2 linked regions of the Lepisosteus oculatus genome follow. Each later gene encodes a partner of the first gene's protein in a complex. Links are inferred from orthologs where the notes say so. Each region holds a gene or a part of one and is shown in the gene's direction. Other genes may lie near its edges.

Region 1 (10,495 bases):
CGCCGGTCCAAGGCCCGCTCTGTCATCAGATGGGCCGTTATATTTTGGCATGACGTGGGCAGTGCTCTGAGCCCGTGCGAGTGGGCGACATCTTTGGGGAATAATTTGGCAAGGAGTTGCTTCCGATCAAGGATGGGTGGGTGTGGGGGGGTTAATTAGCTAATTAATATGCTTTTTTATACATCCTTTCTAAAACACACACACGACCCCCGTGTCTGTCTTGTAGGTGTGCGTATGCAATGAGTCAGTTCTCTTAGGACTGAAGGTTCAGGCCCAAACACGGTTTTTGCAGGTACTGTAGACTCAGAGAAGAGTGTCAACGAAGACGAGTGAGAAAACGTGAGGCGTCATCCGCTTGCCTTAAAATAACTCACCTACTACGAGAACGAAATCAAACTTGATCTGATTAAACGCCCTTGTGATAAATCAACCCAAAGACCTGTCAGACACAAGAAAATAGGTGCTAGAAGAAAGGGCATTATTTTCCATCTATAGGAAATTATTTATCGTCCCCTCTAAATCTAAATCTAGGTCTAGGTTTAAGTGGACCCCTTTTCGAACATTAGCTAAGGGTTTGTACAGAAATGTCCAATTTGCGACATGTACAGGTTATTTTCATAACGGCTTTTTTTTTTAATACAAAGTCGTGTGACCCCGTATCTGTAAAACTAGATAAGTAAAAGGTGTCAGTTGCACTCCAGTCACCAGTTAGAAAGAGTTGCGCACTTTTAAAACGGACTGAGCTCTTGTTCTGCTGTAAAGCTAAGTCAAACAGAGCCTCATCTCTAATGAATATTCAGTTAGTGTGCAGAGCCCAGACAGAACACAAGTATTTCCGCAGACAATAAGAAATTACCAGTACCAAAAACAAATAAGCGCTTTCAAAGCTCCAGTTGCAATACAAGTGGGAAAGGCAGACCTATGTGGTCGCTGTAGTTTGTTTCGAAGACCCCATTTCTCGCAAGCCAAGACTATGTCAGATGTTTGCATGGTGAAGAATATCGAAATAGTATTGCAACTAAGTGATATGTTACAGTGTAAAAGCTATTTGAATGGTATAGACCGGTGGCTCATAACTTGGGGTGCACACAACCTCTGGAGGTGTGAGATGTCCTTTCTCTGGGTTGCCAGTCAGGCAATAAAAATACAAATTATGCCTAGGCACACAACTACAACTACTTTGTTTCATCATGCCTAGGCATTTTAAGTTAAACCTAGAATAAATGTGTATTTTTTTCATGTATTCTTAATGAAACTGAGAAATTAACATACATATATAATTCTGTCTTGTTCATTCTACGGTTATGACCTACATCAGTGATATTTGATAAGATGTATGAGATGATACTTCCTACATCCCTACCTCCTTGACCATTAGAAGATCCCAGGCAGGTCCTGGATAAATTCCACTCTGGGATAACATATTCTAAAACACCAAAAAAACCTAATTTAAATTTCTTACATCTTCACCCGACCTGCTGTGTAGTTAGACAGCTGTTGGATAGTGGCTGCCGAAGGTCAAGCAAGTGGCTGGCTTCTGTATTTCGGTGGTGGAGGTAAAGTGTTTCCTCCTGTTTGAAAAGCACTTTGAATATTTAAGGAACTTATTTAAGGAACTGTAGTTGTTAATTTTACATTGGAGCCTGTAGGGAGTGTGGCGACACACAAGTCCAAAGTGGTTTGGCATTTGCAATAGGCTGGTAGAGTACACCCAGGCCACTGGTCTTCTGTTGTTTTGCCCTTGGCTTTTCCTTAAAGCAATCCTGGTGCCATTAAATCAGATAATGATTCATTTAAAGTTATTTTTAAGACATTTTAAAAAAGATTTCAATTAGAAAATATGATGCGAAATATCGGAGCTTTTAACGTACGTGTGTGATTTGACAGGCCACTTGAAATCTGTCACATTTTAAAAGTTGGAAAATGGTTAACCCAGCAACTGGAAGATTCATTAGGACAAAGACACAGTGGGTCTCACGGATGTGAGTTGGACAAGAGTTTGGGTCTATAGCGCTTCCTCCTCACACACAGGCAGGTGGTCAGTGCAAAGCAGAGTATTTCTGTTGCAGTGTTGGAAACGAGATGTTTTTTTTACTCCATTGCTCTTTTGAAAAGTAATGACTTCAGTATTAAAGGTTGTCCTTCTGGCACTTTCAAAGAGCATCAGCACCCTTACAATATGCCTACTGACAAGGGCACTACTGAATAACACAAGGTGACAAGGAGGGACAAAGCTATGTTTGACTTTATGTCAAGAATTTGTTTAAAAGGAGCACACACAGCAAATGTGATTGCCTGTGCTAATTAAAAGCATGCACTCGAAATAACCTGTCAGTTCTCAGCTACATTTTTCCTGCAAAAAACTGTTCTCAAAAAGCTGTAAAACCTAACTGGATTCTTTTCTCTTTTCTTGTATATGAGTTGTGTGCAAATCCCAGTCTTTGTGTGTATTTTAATAACTTCTTCGACATTGAAAAAAATAAATAAACTGTTTTAAAAAATCAGCTCCTCTTCTACAGTATTATGTTTCCTTCTAGGCTGAATAAAAAGATTAACTAAGCTATGCCAAATTTCCTTAACAGTGTCCCTGGTCCTGTAAGGTTTTTCCAGCACTTTTAGAGCAAACTAAAAGTGAAATTCTATGCTGAATTTCTATAAGATGTATACATGTCCTATTATATGCATTGCTTTAGTACCCTGTGACACAGAAACCTACTGTGTATGCATTGTAGGAACAGAATGTTATTACTGTGTTATAAGATATTTTTAAAGTGCATACAATATGGTTCAGGGCTCCACATAGCTTTAATCTCACAATTGTTTTCTTCTAAATAAGAACATACTGGACAAAGGACAAGAAAAATTACTGAATGCAATAGCTTGAGGATGGAGAATTATTTAAGATGCATATATGAATGCAGGTTAAATACTTCTGTATGAGCTGCATTATAATGAATTTTAAAAGTCAGAGTTAATGTCTTAGAAACAACCCACAAAGACAGAGAAAGACTGGAAAGCCTTACCAATATAGTGTTAATCATTCCTGGAGAAATATTTAGCAATGCAAATGAGCTTTGAAGCCAAAATAGCCACAGATAATCCCACAGAATCATAGAGCAAATCCTATGTGTTTTAAAATGACATTACTAGTACGGGCATTTCTTTTCAGCATGGAATTAACCCTTACTTGTTCCTTTGCAGTATTAGATACTCCTTTGAACCCACTCCAGATTTAAACAGTTGGTGTCAGCCTCCAAACTGTTTTGTCACTTTGCTCTGTTATAATGTAAAAGGCATATTATAACATATTTTGTTGATATGTGGAAGGGCTGTTATTTTTTTCTACTGTAGGTGTGAACCTGACCTAAGTTTATTCCTTTGTAAACATAGCAGAAGTAAGAGGTCCTACTCATCACATGGTTTCAATTATTGTGCTTATGTGCACATCACGGTTGTAACCAAGCTTTCTTAATTTTATTGGCCGATCGTCTCCGGTCACAAACAACAGACAGGAGAAGTATTAAAAAGCTTTGCCTTTCCATTTCTCCCCTAAATTGTACGGTTCTTTTCCCTAATCTTATGACAAATGTGAGCTCCATTGTAGTTAGTCTGGCCTGCTGGTGTAGATGTGGGCCCATACTGCTCTTGTTAAAATTGATTGCAATATCTGTGCTTTAAATGTCAATAGTGTAGATATAGGGAAGAAATACCCATCATCTCTTTCCTCCTTGTATACAGTACTTTTAAGTTAAGACTTTCATATGTAAATAGTTATTTTATAGTGGTTGTTTGTAAGTAACAAAATATGCTTTTGTGACGAGAGCTGTGGCACAGTGGTGCGTGCTATCTGTGTGGAGTTTGTGTGTTTGCATTGATTTTCTCTGGGTGCTTCAGTTTCCTCCCTCAAACCAAAATAAGAGTGGTAGGTTGTCTTCTGGGAAAATTGGCCCTGGTGGGAGTGTGTGACTCTGTGTGCCCTGCAATGGACTGGCATCCTGTGCAGGATGTACCCTGCCTTGCGCCTGTTGCTTGTTGGAGAGGCTGCGGCGCCCCTGCGACCCTGGATTGGAAGAAGCTGTTAGAAAATGGATGCATTGGAAAAAGTCCGTTTGTCATGGCCTTTTCATAGTTGCAATACGTATCAAAGGCTTGAATGCTATCAAGGTCTTGTGAATTAACCTCTTAAAAAATAAAATAATGTGACCACACCTGACTATTAGCTCTTTGTTCACAGAATAGTTGTCTATTCATCTTCATATCTCTTTCGGTATTTGTTCAGGTTCTCTCTGTATAAGATGAGTTTGCATTTCAATTTAAATTGGAGATGAGGGGGATGAAGGCTGAACTCTGTGAATGAGGTATGCAAATCTCTGTTAGCTAAGACCTACTAAGGGAACAATTGCACAGAGAGGCAATCAGGCGCTCGCTTGATGGAGATGCAAGAGCTTCAGGTGAGGATGAAAACAATGAGGGTGCTATTTAGATCACAGGAGGGATCAGAAAATTACTGTGTGGTGCAAAAAGGAGTTACATCAAATGATCTCAACAAACACAGAACAGTATACCAATTCTTCATGATCTTGGAGTTACAAGGACATTGTAATAGTTGTACTCAGAAACATTTAAACATTTTCTTTTTTGCATTTTACAAAAAAAAATTCTCTCTTGTTTACAAATGCATTGTTTCAGTCTGCTCAAATGATACATCTTCAGATAAATCACCCCGGTAGCAGGAAAGATTATTGTATATTATAATTAAAATCTTATTATTGACTTAACTGTATTAGGGTGTTACATAATCAATCTACAGAAGCCAAGCAAAATTAAAATTATGAGTAACAACAAACAATTGCTCCAACAGGGATTTTTAAAATACTATGAGTCTGTCTTGGTGCCCTGCAGTAATTAAGGAACACTCGAGAATCTGAAAAAAGCTAGTTTTCAAGTTACATATTCATATTTCTTTAGCTCATGGGCACCTTTCCTGGCTCAAAGTCCTCGAAACCTGGGACAAAGGTTACATTATTAGTCAAAAAAGTACCATGATTAATAATAATTATTAATATTAATAATGACCAAAGTAGCATAATAATTACCCATGACACAGTATGGCTTTTCCAACTCTCATAAAAAATGTCATTTAAATCATGTTACGTTCACAACCGGTGATAAAGGGATAATTTGCAAGCAAATTAAAACATCTTCAGATTGTTAAAATCTTATTTATACTTCAAAAATAAAGAAGTACTGATCCAAACCGTGTAAGTAACATAATCACACCTCAATTTAATAGTGCAATTACTGTTTTCGATTCATAATCAATACTAGACATATGCATCTCATGTTATACTGCAACATTCTCGCTATTTGTTTTTTTCAGTAGCACAGTCCAGCACCTCGTATTTGGACTCCTGACCTCCCGCCTCCCCACATGACAAGTTACTTTTACCGTGCCCCGGAAGCGGAAGTGATCTGCGCAGTGGGCCCGGTGGCGTGTGTGTTTTTGAAACGCACAGCCAACGCGAGGGAAGTGATCAGAGTAGAGGGGGGCTGAGAATTAATTCCTAAATACTCTAAACAGTTATCCTGTAGCCGTAAAAGTAAGGGAGATCCCTGGATACAAAACGAAATCGTTTACAGACGTAACAGATATCTTATCTTTCTTCTGCCGAGGTAGGCTTGAGCGGGGAGGTCGGCGTGTGAAGCGCCGGATCAGCCATGGCGGATGTAACTGCTCGGAGCCTGCAGTACGAGTACAAAGCCGTAAGTAGCACAAACAGCGCGCCAGTGCAAATGTAACTATAACTTTTTGTTGTATTCGAGCTTGTGGCGTTCTGTAAGTTTTGCATTGCAAGCTGGAAAAAGTGAAACGTTTGCAACCCTACGCCGCGAGTGTGGGGTGAGATGGGACTGTTCAGTTCCCAATGTAGGGCTGATTTTTCTGTTTACAAGAGGTCTGTGTACCTTTGTATGCAGCAAAGGTGAGTTGTTGCTTAGTTTGCGCTATTCCATTGCATACTTTGGCTTTGACATAAGCCCCTCTTATTTTGTACCAGAGCCTCAGAAGCTCTGGTATTAAGCAGGTTTCTTTGAAGTTGCAGCAATCAAAGATCCGGGGAGGTTTAAATGGCCAATTAAGCCAATAATTATGATTAGGATTAAGAGCTGACCTAGAATGAATATCTACAGATTCCTTGGGTCTCCAAGTTTTGACATTGCTGTTGGTTTAGATCCCAATAGGTGAGTCGGAAGCAAGAAATGAGAGGAGGTATAGAGTTAGTGAAGGAGCCAGTAGGGCCTCATCTGATCACTGATATTTACGCAGCATCTGTTCAGAGTACTTTGTATTGGTCTAAAATTATGATGCATACAGAGCTGTGGCCTGAATGTTTTCTTTTTCTCCCGAACAGAACTCTAATCTTGTACTGCAAGCAGATCGGTCTCTGATCGACCGGACTCGCCGCGATGAGCCCACAGGTGAGGTTCTGTCCCTTGTGGGAAAGCTGGATGGTACCAAGATGGGGGACAAGTCCCAGAGGACAAAGCCACAGATGCTGGAGGAGAGAAGAGCCAAGTAAGACCATATGGGTTTAATAGATCGAGTTCAGAGTCTTTCCTTGCTGTCCTGGGACTAGTGTTTGCCACCTGAAGAGTTTTTTTGTTTTATGAGCATGTGGTGTGTAAACATGGCATAGTGGCCAAATGTTTGTGAACATGGCCATCCGCATAATATAGCCAGATTTCCCGGTGCAGGCTTTTCCTGGAAACGTGTAGACCTGGAAAAAACACTTGAAAATAAAATGTCCTGGTAAAGGAAATACAATAAAGATATGTAGAAAATTCAGTATTGGGTACATTACTACGTGTAAATATACACCTTTTGAATGCTGGTGTGTTTTTTTTAATCGTGTATGTGCATGTGGTAAAATGGGAATAGATCAGTGGATGCTTTTTGTGATGCTGGCTCTCTAGACAGGTTTGGCTAGCCTTGTAATCCTCAAGGACTGGAACTACATAGTCCTTGTGTGTAGTTTTACAGAATGGGACTGATCGTGTGCAGAGTTACCTTTGAGGCACCTGCAGTGTTTAAGCCCACTTTAATGGAAGAGTGTGGGATCCTGTTTGCTGAGGCTCTGGCTGAGCGGTTCAGGGGAGATTGACGACCCTGTGCCCACTTGTTCTTCGTGCAGGAGGAGGAAGAGAGATGAGGACCGGCATGACATCAACAAGATGAAGGGTTTCACCCTGCTGTCAGAGGGCATCGATGAGATGGTGGGCATCGTCTACAAGCCCAAAACCAAGGAGACCAGGGAGACCTATGAGGTTCTTCTCAGCTTCATCCAGGCTGCCCTGGGAGACCAGGTGAGGGGCGTGTTTCAGTAGTCTCTTGTGGTGTTTTGACACATTACTGGAAGCTTTAGGAAGTTTTTTTCTGCAACACAGTGTGGTATGTTTGCAAGGTGTGTTGTGGTGTATGTGCTTCATCACAAAATGTTATCATCCTATTGCCTAATGACTTATATATTACTGCTTTATCGTGATTTTTGTCATGATTGGCACCATCTCAGAATATTAACAAGTTACATTGGGTTGTAACATAGCTTTTAAGAGTGTTTACTAGAACATTAAGAGATGGGGGTTAATAGCATTTTCAAAGCAAAATGTCAAGATGAGGGAGGCTTCTTCCCTGTGACTGATCAGGCATTTTGAATGTCCTTGAAGCCCAGAGACATCTTGTGTGGGGCAGCCGACGAGGTGCTGGCTGTGCTGAAGAACGAGAAGATGAGAGACAAGGAACGACGCAAGGAGATTGAGCAGCTGCTGGGTCCCACTGACGACACGCGTTACCATGTGCTGGTCAACCTGGGCAAGAAGATCAGCGACTACGGAGGAGACAAGGAGCTCCAGAATATGGGTACAGAGTCCACCTGTTACTTTATCACAGGGGCAGCTAGCCTAGAACCTGGAGAGCTGCGGCCTTGTGGATTTTATTTAAGCCTGCATTGTTATATTTGGTTCTTGATCTTAATGGGTGAAAACACCTGTTTTGTTTAATAGTGATTGATGATTTGTAGGTGTGTGCCAGTCCTACAGTATTGAAGCTTACTAGATTAGGATTAATACAAAATTAAATGGATTTATCATTTATAGGAATTGGATAGGAAAGATGTGTCGCAGAACAATATTGTATGTGCATTCTCTCCTGATAATCTTTCATGTTACCATTTTTGTGTTGTAGATGACAATATTGATGAAACGTATGGTGTCAATGTACAGTTTGAGTCTGATGAAGAGGTGAGTATATGTGACATCTAACCTTACCAAATATAAAGAGCTGTAGGCTTCCCTCCCCCAAGAATCCCAATACAAATGAGTACAAAATGGGCAGAAAAATTCAAAGTTGAAATGGCATATGACCTGGAGGAATTTATATCCAGGGTGCCATGTGTCCCAAGATTTAAGTGGGAATTCTGAGTGGCGGGTGAAAATGAGTAGAACTTTTGATTGTCTATTATCTCAAATATTTGTGAAAAATTACATTGGTAGATTTGGTTAAAATGAATATTTCCTGGTTCTTGGATCAGATCTCCTGTTCTGGAATCAATCCAGCATAAGATACTTTATAAGGCACAAAGGAATTTCCTACTCTGAAAGGCTTAAAAATTGTTATTTTTAAGTCAGAGAAGCCGAAGACATTTTTAAAATCCTCTACAGCGCTGAGGGTCTGGAATAAGCAATTCAACCTTATTGTCAAAGCTTATACACTGGCTTTTTACAAGAATCATTTGGATACGTTCCTGGTGTCAATTAGCCTCTAGCAAGCCAATGAACTAGATGGGCCAAATGGCCGGTCTACTCTGGTTTGTGACCTTTCTGCGGCTCTTGTGTGGGGCGTAGCGAATGGAGAAGTCGTATATGTGCTTACAGTTACGATGTGTGTAGCTGTATGTCAGTGTGCTGACAGCTGTGTGTGTTGCAGGAGGGAGATGAGGACCAGTATGGGGAGGTTCGAGATGAAGTGTCTGATGAAGACAGCGAGGGGGTGGAGGCCGATGTGGGCTGTACTCTCAGTGCCAATGTAAGTGTTGCCAGTTCCTCCTGTCTTATTCCCTCTCTACCTCTGAGTGAATCTCCTGTCTCTTTTTCATTCTTATTTCTTGTTCCCTGTTTAGTTTATTTTGTTTTAAAAAAACTATATCCAAGATCAGAATATTTTTGCATCCTTTTTTAATTAATCACATACTCTTTTCCTTTGCGTAAAAAAAGTCAAATTTCAATGTTTCAACTTGGAAAACACCTGGAAACTTGCCGTTTCTGCTTTTATTTTTCAGCCATATTTCAAGCATCTGGATTCCCTTAATGCTCAGAACCGTTCTTCTTTCAAAACTCAAGATTTGTAGTTTCATAGTCTTGTCAGTTAGAATTGTATTTTTGTTCACAAGAGTTCGCAAATAATTGAGAATATTAGGGCTGACAAGGCTGAATGAGATTACTGCAGAAGATATTGCATTTTATCAAACGTGGATTGGACCAGACTTTTCTGTCCTTGTCCCCCAGAAATGAACTTGCCTTATTCCTGTTTCTTCAGCTGGGCTCTTCAGGTGATGTCATGACTGCCAAGAAGAAAGACCTGCACCCTCGTGACATTGATGCCTTCTGGCTCCAGAGGCAGCTGAGTCGTTTCTACGACGATGCCATCGTGTCTCAGAAGAAGGCAGATGAGGTGCTGGAGATCTTGAAGGTGAGGTCGCTGAGCATGCACACCACACATACCTCAGAATCTGGGTACCCCAAATAAGAGCTCTTCCCATCCCTTCAATGAGGAGAAAATTATCCAGATTCTGGGCCTCCACTGAAAAATATAGTAAAACCTGGAAACCAACTTCGGTGTTAGCTGACATTTCTTCTTCACAATATTCTGATTGCACGGATTTCAAAACGTGTATTATATTTTCCTTGAAGCAGCATGGCAGTAGTAAATGTGTGCGACAGTAATAATCGTCTTTTAGTGAAGTAGAAAACAAAAACTTGAAGGTGATTCATTTTTATTTCCTGTCCTGGTTCTTGAACTCCTGTATGGTGTCTTCAGTCAAGTAGGTTCGTGTCTGTCCTGCAGGCAGCATCTGTCTTTTCTAAACATTAGAACACCAGGGAAGGAGAGCAAAGGTTTAGATGTTGGTGGTGGGGTCGGTTCAGTGTATTGGGAGATGTTTGTGTTGCTTTACAGACGGCCAGTGACGACAGGGAGTGTGAGAACCAGCTGGTCCTGCTTCTGGGCTTCAACACCTTTGACTTCATCAAGGTCCTCCGACAGCACCGGCGAATGAGTGAGTCTGGGCTGGTGGTACCTGTGTTTGTGTGGAGGAGTGTGGTGGGCGTAAATGACAGGTCTTGCTCATTGTAATGTTTTACACAATAGCATAGCAGTTACAGGTTACATGGGGATTAGGCTGAAATACAGCTTGGGGAGTAAAAGTGTTTTGCTTACATTTTA
Region 2 (9,869 bases), on another chromosome or scaffold:
TAATTAAAGGAAAACAGCCATAAGAAACTAATGATTTTATAAGATCAGACCTTGAGAAGAAACAGATAGCTATAATTGTTAATGCTGTATGCCTCTCAGGCATGATCTGCATAGCAAGCAGCACCAGGTACAAAACCCGAGCTGGATAATGGGATTAGGGATCACTTATCATGCGACGCTTCATTTCACATCAATTAGGATTCACAATCTGAGGAGAATCCAGTCACCGATACCACACAACAACACTTACCCAAGAACAGCAATTCTTTCCAGTTGCCGGCGTTTGCAGAGTGCTCCCATCTCAAAAGATTCCAGAAGTGCTTCTTGTACAGGAAAATCAAAAGACCCCACTACCGGGCAAAGATTCGATCGCTTTCTTCTTTATTTTTGCATTGGGGTTTAAACATCCCGTAGGGTAAATGCAGTCTTTTTAACTTCCTGAAAGTCTGGCTTTTTCCTGCCTCTCAATATCCAAAAACACGTACCTAAAACCCGTGCATGTGCGAGCCCTCACAAGCCTCCTGGGCTCAAGCGCACCGTCTCAGGCTCAGGAGGAGGGTCCCTCAGACTGGACCGGACCTGACCCAGACCAGTGGATCCAGGTTTGGGACGTCCCGACAGCTCGGTTACATGACACAGCTCCCCAAACAAACAGCACAAACAACGAAACCCGCTGCATTCAGCAGCGCTCAGCCTGCGCCAGTTTTTGCCAGTGGAAGTAGCATCTGAGGTGCTTTCGTTCTCGAAACACAGCACCTTATTTTTTGGGGGGTATGATGTCACTCACCACCCCCCTACAATGGCAACAACAGTCACACGCCTCCTGGAAGAAGGAAGGTGTGATATCCACGGAATTAATGCACCTCTGTCGCTACTTTCAACAGCACAAACCAGCCCAGACAGGGCACAGATGAATGAGATCGGTTCGGTTCTCCTGCACCATCCTAGGAAGTGCAAGTGATCTTACACCCTGCATCTCAGGAACGAAACCAACCCACACGCTACTTTAAGCAGCACAGAGCTGAAGAATCTGGCTCAATGGCTTGTACAGGCTTCAGCTCTGGCCACAGGTCTGTACTGACCCACGAGGACACAGACAGGGAGCGAGGCCGCAGGGCTGCAGGACGGCCAATAGCCATCGAACTGTTATTCATGCTGACAAATCAGTGCATCGCCTCAGCAGAGCACAGAACAGATCTGCAAAGGAACAAGTAAGAGGTTTATTCCCTGCTGAAAAGAGAAGAGAGAAAACACAACGTTTCGGCTGTGAAGCCTTCTTCAGTTGGCCTGAAGAAGGGTCTTCAGGCGTCTTCGGGGAGACAACCTGAAGAAGGCTCCACAGCCGAAACGTTGCGTTTTCTCTTTTCTCTTTTCAGCGTGGAGTAAACCTATTACTTGTTCCTTTGCAGACTACGCATGCAGCTACCCACCTGAACTACAGAACATATCTGACCTGAAGTACAGAAGTCACGAAATAAGTCGAAAAGTTATTTCAACACAGAAAACCTACAAGGAGTCTTTCTGATGTACTTTTACAAGGAGGATTCCAGCACGACTGACTGGGTCAGGCGGCATGCTGGTTTGCTGTTGTGTTTGTTTGCTGCTGATCTATTCCGAACGTCTTCCTTTCACACTTCGTCGTGTGTCTTTGCCAAGCTGGAGGGGGGTTCAGTCCTGTGCTCTCTATTTCCCATATCTCGGGCATCCAAGACAGCGGTTTAGCCCGCCGAGCTACCCGGGCTCATGCAAGTGTGAGCCTTCCCTCCTTCCCTCAAAAAACAAGTCAGAAATCCGCTCGGCACCGGTATCCCAGGACCTCCGTGCTGAGGGGGGCGACAGAAGAGCGAGGGGGGGGGGGGCGGGGGTGGCGTCAGAGCTGGAAGATCTCGTCCTCCCTGTCCCTCAGCCCGTTGGCGCGCTTGGTGATGGTGAGCGGGACGGGGCCCAGCGTGGCCCCCTGGTGCACCCTGGGAGAAGAGGCGGAGCTCCGGAGCTCGGCCCTGCGGTTGGCCGAGGCTCTCCGGGGGCCGGCCGGCTCAAGTCCCACCAGGCTGTGAAAGCAAAGGGGAGGGAATTAAATCCTCTGCAGGACTGCCCCCGGGACAGCGTCTATTTGGGGTCTCATTTCACCTCGTCGTCTCCTTCTGCTTCCTGACTCCCTCCGCTTCCAACAATAACATCCTTCTGACAACCTGAAAGAGGGAAATAAATTCTCGTCGCACCCCACAACCTGCACTCCGGCCTGTTGCCTGCGAACCCCTGAGGAAGGCTCCCCAGCAGGGGCGCAGGGTATTTCCTCTGCTGGGTCTGTCGGGCAGTCGAGCATTAACACAGCTCACTCTAACGTCTACTGCAGCACTACAAATGACCACACCACCCCTGGAATGGAAACAGAAACTCCTGCCCCACAGGACTCAGGCCCAATTCAGGTTTCAGAAGGTGCAATGCATTTACCTAAACGTCACTTACTGTACATGCTAAAGCAAGGTTATTTAAAGGGGAGCTGCAGCGCCATTTTTATATTTCGGGGTTCGGAAGAATCAGCATTGATGAGGGCATTTCAAACCACAATGAAAGCAAAATATACACAGTAATGTATTAAACCTCCAATTTACACCACAAAATAGACAAAATGATCCAGGTATGCGCAGTGCCATGTCCTGCGATTGAGAATGAGGCAACAAAACTTCCAGTAAGGTGAAAAGGCCCTATTACACTGTAAACAAGCAGGCTTGTGAAAACAATCTCCTTTAATCCAATAGAAATATGGCTCTCGCCTTCGAGAAGGTTATGCTACAAATACTACTTGTTAACTCTGCATGCAGATCTCGTTGGAACATTTCAGCAGTGAAATGTCTGCAGCACAGTCTGTACTTATTCGCTCGTACATCACAGCGTACTAGTCATTACAGGGACTAGTGAGCAGGAAGGGCTGCCAACATGTTGCACAGACTCTGTGGTGAGACCAGGAGTCTGCGACAACATGGCGACTTACAGTACTTTCACCAAGTTAACAATTCTGTGCTTGTCACCCGTAAAATTTGTTTTAAGCATCCAGGTCTTGATTAAAAATGTTCAATTGCTAAATTGCAGAACTGGGGCCCTGGGTTCAATTCCTGACTTCGGGTGCTGTCTATGTGGAGTTTGTATGTTCTCTCTGTGTTCAGATGGGTTTCCTGGTGGATTAATTCCCTTGTGGGAAAATCGGCCCTGGTGTGAGTCTGCCTGCCCTGTGACGGACTGGCGTCCCATCCAGGGGGTACCCCGCCTTGCACCCACTGAATGCCGGGACAGTCACCAGCTCCCCCCCTCCCCCCCAACCCAGCCTCTTGCAAGGAAAAATCGAGCGGTTAAAAAAAAAATGGATGAATGGATATTCACTTTGAAAGAACTGTGCCTGCATCATTCGTCCACTGTAATTAAATGAAGCGTCATGGGACACCCAGCTGTCCAGTCGGCCGGCACTCACCCCTTCTCTCCCTCCCGCATCTTCCTCACAGCTGCCTGTTTGGACTGGCTGATCATGCAGTCCATCCTCTCCAGGAAGTCCCTGGCCGACAGGTCCGAGTTCACCCCAGTGCCGGGCACCTCCGGCTCGCCTTTCGTCTGATTGGCGGACGCGCCGTTCTCCTTCAGGTCCTCTCCGCGCTCCCCGGCCGGCGATTGGCTCGTCCCCTCGCCCGCCGGCCCCGCCCCGCCCCCCGGAGGCTCCAGGTCCGTCAGCACCGGGATCGAGAGAGACTTCTTCAGGAATATGGAGTCGTTGGTGTACAGCCTATTGGCTCTCTTGATTTGCTCCATCTGCAAAAAAAAAAACACACACACCACAAAACAATCTTTGAATCAGGAATTTATTCATGCGAGTGAGGGAAAATATTTCGCGAAAAGAGCCACAAAAGTTTCGCAGAGCCCAAGTTACATGACCTCATGAACTCTCCTGCTCAGGCGAATCTCAGAAACCAACCCCCAGGTGGCACTCACCGTCACCCCGTACTTCAGCGCCAGTCCCTGAAGCGTCTCTCCGGGCTGCACCTGGTGCTCCACCCGCCTCTCTCGCACCGGCGACCGGGTTGAATGCACCAGGCTGCCGTAGGAACGGGTCCGGCTCCCGGAGAGGAGCGCCTCGCCCCCGGCAGAAGCAGGGAGCCGTCCCGAAGACATCGCCGATGAAGATGTCGCCCTTGTGCCCCCTCTGTTTTTCGTCTTAGTCCAGTTCGGTGGTCTCCGGATGAGGCTCCATCGAAAGAGTCCCCGGACCCTTTCAAGCTCAAATGCTGTATAGGTCAGTGGACCTCCCTGCGCCCATCAACAGCGTGTGAAGATACTTCTCTTGAGAGCACAAAACGTCCGGTTACGAATTTCTAAAATGTTTGGGAGGCTCGGCATCACACACAGACTCAACAGCGGGAGATTTTTTGAGAGAAGTGTGTGAGATCGGAACTACAGGAAAGCCTTCGCATGCGAAGTACGGTTTAAGACCCCCAGTGGCTCGCGGTTTGCAGGACGAAAAGCACCAGGCTTTAATTTGATTAAAGAGACGTCCGCGGGACCGAACAGAGAAACTTGGGGTACCGGTTTCACTGGACGGGTCTGTTTTATGCAGACTAGCTAAGCGCTAGCAACCGTCACCCAGTTAGCTAAACACAAGGTTCTTCGATTGTGCAGGGTTGTTTCCTAAGCGTTTCTGATCTGTTTTTATCCCGCAGATCCATCCCTCGAGCGGATGTACAGTACAGTGTATCGACGCTGGAGTAAAAGCTACTTGTACTGTGGCTAAAATAAATACAACGTACCTGTTATTTATGCGTCTAGCTATAAATTCCTCTAAATTAAAACGCCTGAAATAGAACCCGTAACAATCGCGAACGAGGTCCCTGGAACTGTCAAAAATAAAATATCAGTACCAAAGCAAGTCTAAAAATGAGTTACTCGAACACGTTTTCTGTTTCTGTTCGTTGAACATTCTCGCGTGTGCATTTTCTTGTCACTGTCTTTCCCGTGTTTTTTGTAGCGCATTTTGTTTAAAAAACCCGTTTCATCATAGTGACGGAAACCTTAAATTATAACATAACGTCCTCAACGCCAAGCTTTTTACTACATACAATCGTACTCGAAATGAAAGTACCCTAGGAGTTGTAGTTCTGCCTAATTCGGAGAGTCGTTGGAACAACGAGATAGACATGACTTAAAAAACTACAATTTCCATAGTTCTATTGGGCGTGTAAGCTAGGAATGTTGGGAAAGGCGAGGCCCCACAGTCCCATGGGAACTGGAGTGTGCATAGAGAAACAAGCGGGACGATTCTATAAGTAGGGTACATCCCTCGCCCCATAATTTGCATTAATTAATTATTACTTTTACAATAACAAGACTTGCAGTTGTATTTATGCTGTCCCAGTCAGAGGTTTCACAAATAAGTAGGACTCCCAGCACCCACTCGATAGCCATTAACACTTGAAAAACTACAAGTCCCATCATTCAGCTGGCGGAAGTGATGTTTGTCCGATGAACGAAAAGCAAGGCTGAGTACTTTTCTGGTGTTCTTGTAATAATGTCTTTTAAAAGGGAAGGGGATGACGCTAGTCAACTGAATGTCCTCAAGGTATGTTTTGTTATTTAATATTTCCAGTGTTTTCTACTTGTGCTTTCGAAAAGGCCGATGCAAACATAGTAAAGGTGCAGCTGAACGAAGCTAGCTATTTCTCTCCGAAAAGTAGCTCTAAAGGGGATCTTAACTTTGTGCCCAGAGTGTCTTTCCCTGCTTTTGCGTCTTGATGAAGAGATGTGTAATTCAGGGATTCATCTGAAAGGCCCTTTCAATTAGGCAGGCTGGTTCATTCCCATTGAGCCTCTCTTCTCACTGGCAGAAACGACGCGTCGCTGATCTCCTGTCCAACTTCATTCCCGAGGACGAGGCCGTCCTGATGAAGAACGGAAGGTAATCCCACCTTTGCATAGCGCCGCCCTAAGCAAATTACCCCCCCCCCCCACGGCTCAGCCTAAAATGTGTCCAAGTCGATGTAGGATGTGTTTTCCACACTGGCTATAAAGCCATCTGAAACTTCTGGGCTGTGGCATCAAATTGATGCTTGCAATTACCTCAGACCCCCGCCCCCCAAAGAATGAATGCATTTATTGTTTGGAAGATGATACACTGCAGATGAAGACTCCTTTATCTCTCCCTTCAAGGCAGTATGGGATCGGGAATCTAGCCTCTAGGCGCCCTCCCTCTCCGCCCCTGTGCTCTCCTCCGCAGGTACGCCTGTTTAGTGTGCTCGTCCCGGCCCGTGTTCGACACCGTGGACATGCTGGCCGTCCACAGGAAAGGGAAGAGACACCTGGAGGGTAGGTCTCGCCTGTTCCAGACCGGGTACCGGCCGCATGCAGGACTGCACTCCAGTCTGGGAGCTGACCCGGGAGAGATCGTTTCTCTAGAAGACTAGGGATGTTAATCCTGGTGTCCTGGCCAAATTTCCCCCCTGGCCTTTAACCCTCATGACCTCCCTCTCTGAACTGGCTTCATCACTCAGCTCTCCTCCCCACTGAGAGCTGGTGTGTGGGGGGCGGACTGGCGCAGCATCCAGGTGGGGCTGCACACTGCTGGTGGTGGAGGGGATCCCCATTACCTGTAAAGTGCTTTGAGTGGAGTGTCCAGAAAAGCGCTATAGAAGCGCCAGGACTATTATTATTATTATTATTATTATTATTATTATTATTCCAGCGAGTGAGTGCTGATGAGGTCGCCTGGGAAAACCCTGGTGAGCCATGACCCCCTCCACCCCCATTTCAAGTCAAGAAGCCTTATTGAAGAGCTTAAATTGCGGGGGGCTCCTCCCCCCCAGCGCAGGGGGGTCCTGTGGCCCAGGCGCTCTGAGGGACGCGTCTCCTGCCCCGTGTCTCCGCAGGGCTCCAGTGGTCCTACAGGAAGAAGCGGGAGCTGCAGAACGAGATCGAGAAGCGGCGCCACCTGGCCTACGTGCGCCAGGAGGAAGCGGGCAGGCAGGTGAGCTCAAGCTGCTGTGTAATCAGACGACCACCTGGAAGTCTCACATATCCTTAGTCCCCCTTTAACTGAAGCTGTAGGATAGAAGAACAACCAGAATCCTATTCATATGTCATTTTCTGCTACTTATTATCATCATGATAAACACTGTTTTATAGAGCGCGTTTAAAAGTAGGCTGCTCAGAACTCCTTACAGGAAAAGAAGAGTTCAAACAAAAGAGAGCAGTAAAAGACAGGAGATTACAGAAGTAACAAGAAGAAGCACAAGGGATTAGCAGGAGAAGGTGCAAGGAGCAGACACAGATGCCGATTAAATAGAAAACAATCAGCTTTCCGGGGAAGAAGATTTTGAGTCTGGATTTGGAAGTGCTCGGGGAAGAGGACTCTGGGATGCTTGGGGAAGGAGCTCCAGAGCTCTGGGGCGCAGTAAGGGAAGGCCCTGGCTGGCTGCTATAGAGAGTCACAGAACCCTAGAAGTGTTTTATACTGCAAGTGCCCCAGGCTGATTGTTCACAACTACGAGACTTCCGCGACTGAAATGTCGGTCCTCTTCCCTTAGCTGGGGACTTGACTCCAGGACCAGTCCAAGCCCCTTCGCCTGAGCAAGGTCGTGCAGCTGTCAGGCGTACGAACCTCCATGCCTGAACAGGTACGTTGACTCTGGAGGACGATGAGTTTACGTTTCTCTTCTCCTCTTGCCTTGTCGTTGCCCTAAAGGAGACAGCTGGTCCAGCTCCTCTGCTGGCCCAGACACGCAAGATTACCCATCATGCCTTGCTGAAGTCCACCCCCTACAACAGCTGCCACCAGAAGAGAAGGTAACTGGGATTGTCTGTAAAAACCTTCAACAATAAAATGGTCAGAAAGCTTGGAGCCCTGTCTGCCCTGCTGTGGAAGGGTTTTCATTTGAAGTATGAAGTATACATTAAAATGCATTGCAAAAATACTAGGCTTCTCCTTGGCTTTCATTTGAGCTCTTGCCAAACAGCTCAGAGAGAAATGTGTGTTTTTCTTACAGCAGCAGGTCTGAATCAAACTCCAGCTGTCCCTCACCCAGCAGGACCCCTGTTCCCAGGAACCAAATGTTGCAAGCTCAGTCAGGGGGGACATCAACGGCTGACACCACACCAGTGACCTCACTTCCTGGACACCATAGCAACAGTGCACTAGGTGCTCAATCATGTGCATAGCTCGTAAACATATTCACCTGAAAGAATGGCAGTTTTAAATGTAGCATATGCGTTTCCTGTCTGCGTTCCTATGATAGCACATCTCTGTAAGGCACCGGATATAGTTTATGGCTACTCTCATGGCCTTCTAAGACCTGAAAGATAAGTTTACATCATAAGGCAAATACAAAGCCTAATTTGAAATCTTATTGTGTTCGGCCCTGCTTCACGCTATTACACACTATTACAGGGCCCTGCTGTAACTCCCTGCTCTCTTACCTTCCCCAGAGATCCCGAGAGAGGGCGTCCCCGAGCGAGCGAAGGAGAGCACGAGAAAGAAGTCCCGGCCTGCGGCGGCTTCCGAGCCAGATCCCGGGGCGGCACAGAGGCGCCAAGAGATGGAGCACTACCTCAGGCTGAAAAGGTAACCTTCCACTTGTGCGAACCTACAGGAGGTGGCCTAGAAAAGGCATCCGCCCTATTTTCCGGGCCCTTGGCCGGTATCATTTCCCGGACACTGACTTACTCATCCTGCAAAAGAAGAGCGAGGGGGGAAACGTCAAAGCGGATGGCAAGGCAATGGGGCTGGAGAAGAAGATCCTCCCACTGGTACAGCGACCCCCGAATGCCTGCCGTCTTCGTAACTTACTTAACGCATCTAACGCCATTGCTGTGAATGACCCCGAAAGCTGCAGTTCTCCGTTTCCCCACCAGGTGTCAGCCTGCCTCTCCTTCCTCTGTCTGTCCTTCCTTGCAGCTCCGGGTGGCTGCAGGACCGAAGTGGAAACTGGGTGAAGGATGAGAACGTGGAATTCGACTCCGACGAGGACCAGCCCCCCACCCTCTCCCCCTCCTGACCCCACCTGTCCCAGAACAGGAAGAGCATTTGAACTGTTTCAGAGAACATTTGTACAGCGACGCCATTTTTGAACGGCAAAAGCATGAACTGCTGTAGGTGGAGGACAAAATGTAATTATAAAGAAGTGATTGAAGACCTTTTAATGGTCAGATCTCTCACACGCTCTCTGGGGAGAACTTAAGATGTTGTCAATCTTTTTTGTCATTTTGTAACTTATGCCTATTAAAATCAGAAAGAGAAGCTGTTTTCCCCCCACTGATGCATAACTGCTGATGCTGTTGTAAGAGAAATTCAAATGGTGTGATGTGTAGCCACCTGAAGGTTCACAAATGCATCTCGTGAATATAAATAACCCGCTGTTCAAACGTTGGGCTCTTGAAAACTGACCTCTGCTTCTGCATCAACATGCCAGAGCAGCAGCAGCAGCAGGACTGAGAGGAGCTGCTTGTCTCCATCACAGCAGCTGTGCGTTTCTGCCCGAGCTGAGGAACACGCTGAGCCCAGACTAAAGAGATCCAGTTCCTGCATCCTGCCCAGATAATCCCAGGATAATCCTTTTGGCTCAAACATGTACCCGTATTCACAATCCCACTACTCAAATCTTAATTCAACCCATGTAAATTTTCATCTTAGTCTATTGCCATGTGTTGTCCATATCCGTGCACATCAGGCGAGCGGTTGGGGGGGGCATCTCCGAGGTCAGGGGTCAAGAACCGGTCTTAGTGTGCTCAGGGAAAGGGGAGCAGCTCTAGTTGGTCTTTGCTCCTCGTATGGGGGGGGGAATGGCTTCCGAACACAGGCTTCCCCGCTGACAAACAACTGTCACAGCTGGGAAAGC

The links. Proteins that work in one complex are often made in the same cells at the same time.
Region 2: snrnp200 (region 1) and scnm1 share a complex: the UniProt entries of both Homo sapiens proteins name them as parts of the minor spliceosome. The link is inferred for Lepisosteus oculatus from reciprocal best matches to the Homo sapiens genes SNRNP200 and SCNM1.

The regions. Positions count from the first base shown.
Region 1 is NC_090697.1:70,220,785-70,231,279, reverse strand, and holds the start of snrnp200 (U5 small nuclear ribonucleoprotein 200 kDa helicase), read left to right. Parts: upstream 1-5,485; 5' UTR 5,486-5,718; coding exon 5,719-5,763; intron 5,764-6,410; coding exon 6,411-6,574; intron 6,575-7,190; coding exon 7,191-7,362; intron 7,363-7,722; coding exon 7,723-7,915; intron 7,916-8,239; coding exon 8,240-8,295; intron 8,296-8,980; coding exon 8,981-9,079; intron 9,080-9,589; coding exon 9,590-9,742; intron 9,743-10,228; coding exon 10,229-10,328; intron 10,329-10,495. UniProt on the Homo sapiens protein: Catalyzes the ATP-dependent unwinding of U4/U6 RNA duplices, an essential step in the assembly of a catalytically active spliceosome. Plays a role in pre-mRNA splicing as a core component of precatalytic, catalytic and postcatalytic spliceosomal complexes.
Region 2 is NC_090722.1:5,083,704-5,093,572, reverse strand, and holds scnm1 (sodium channel modifier 1), read left to right. Parts: upstream 1-5,479; 5' UTR 5,480-5,551; coding exon 5,552-5,602; intron 5,603-5,867; coding exon 5,868-5,938; intron 5,939-6,256; coding exon 6,257-6,345; intron 6,346-6,905; coding exon 6,906-7,003; intron 7,004-7,720; coding exon 7,721-7,821; intron 7,822-8,021; coding exon 8,022-8,173; intron 8,174-8,460; coding exon 8,461-8,596; intron 8,597-8,929; coding exon 8,930-9,029; 3' UTR 9,030-9,271; downstream 9,272-9,869. Other genes in the region: lysmd1 (lysM and putative peptidoglycan-binding domain-containing protein 1), read right to left, coding at 1,871-2,051, 3,470-3,801, 3,982-4,161. UniProt on the Homo sapiens protein: As a component of the minor spliceosome, involved in the splicing of U12-type introns in pre-mRNAs. Plays a role in the regulation of primary cilia length and Hedgehog signaling.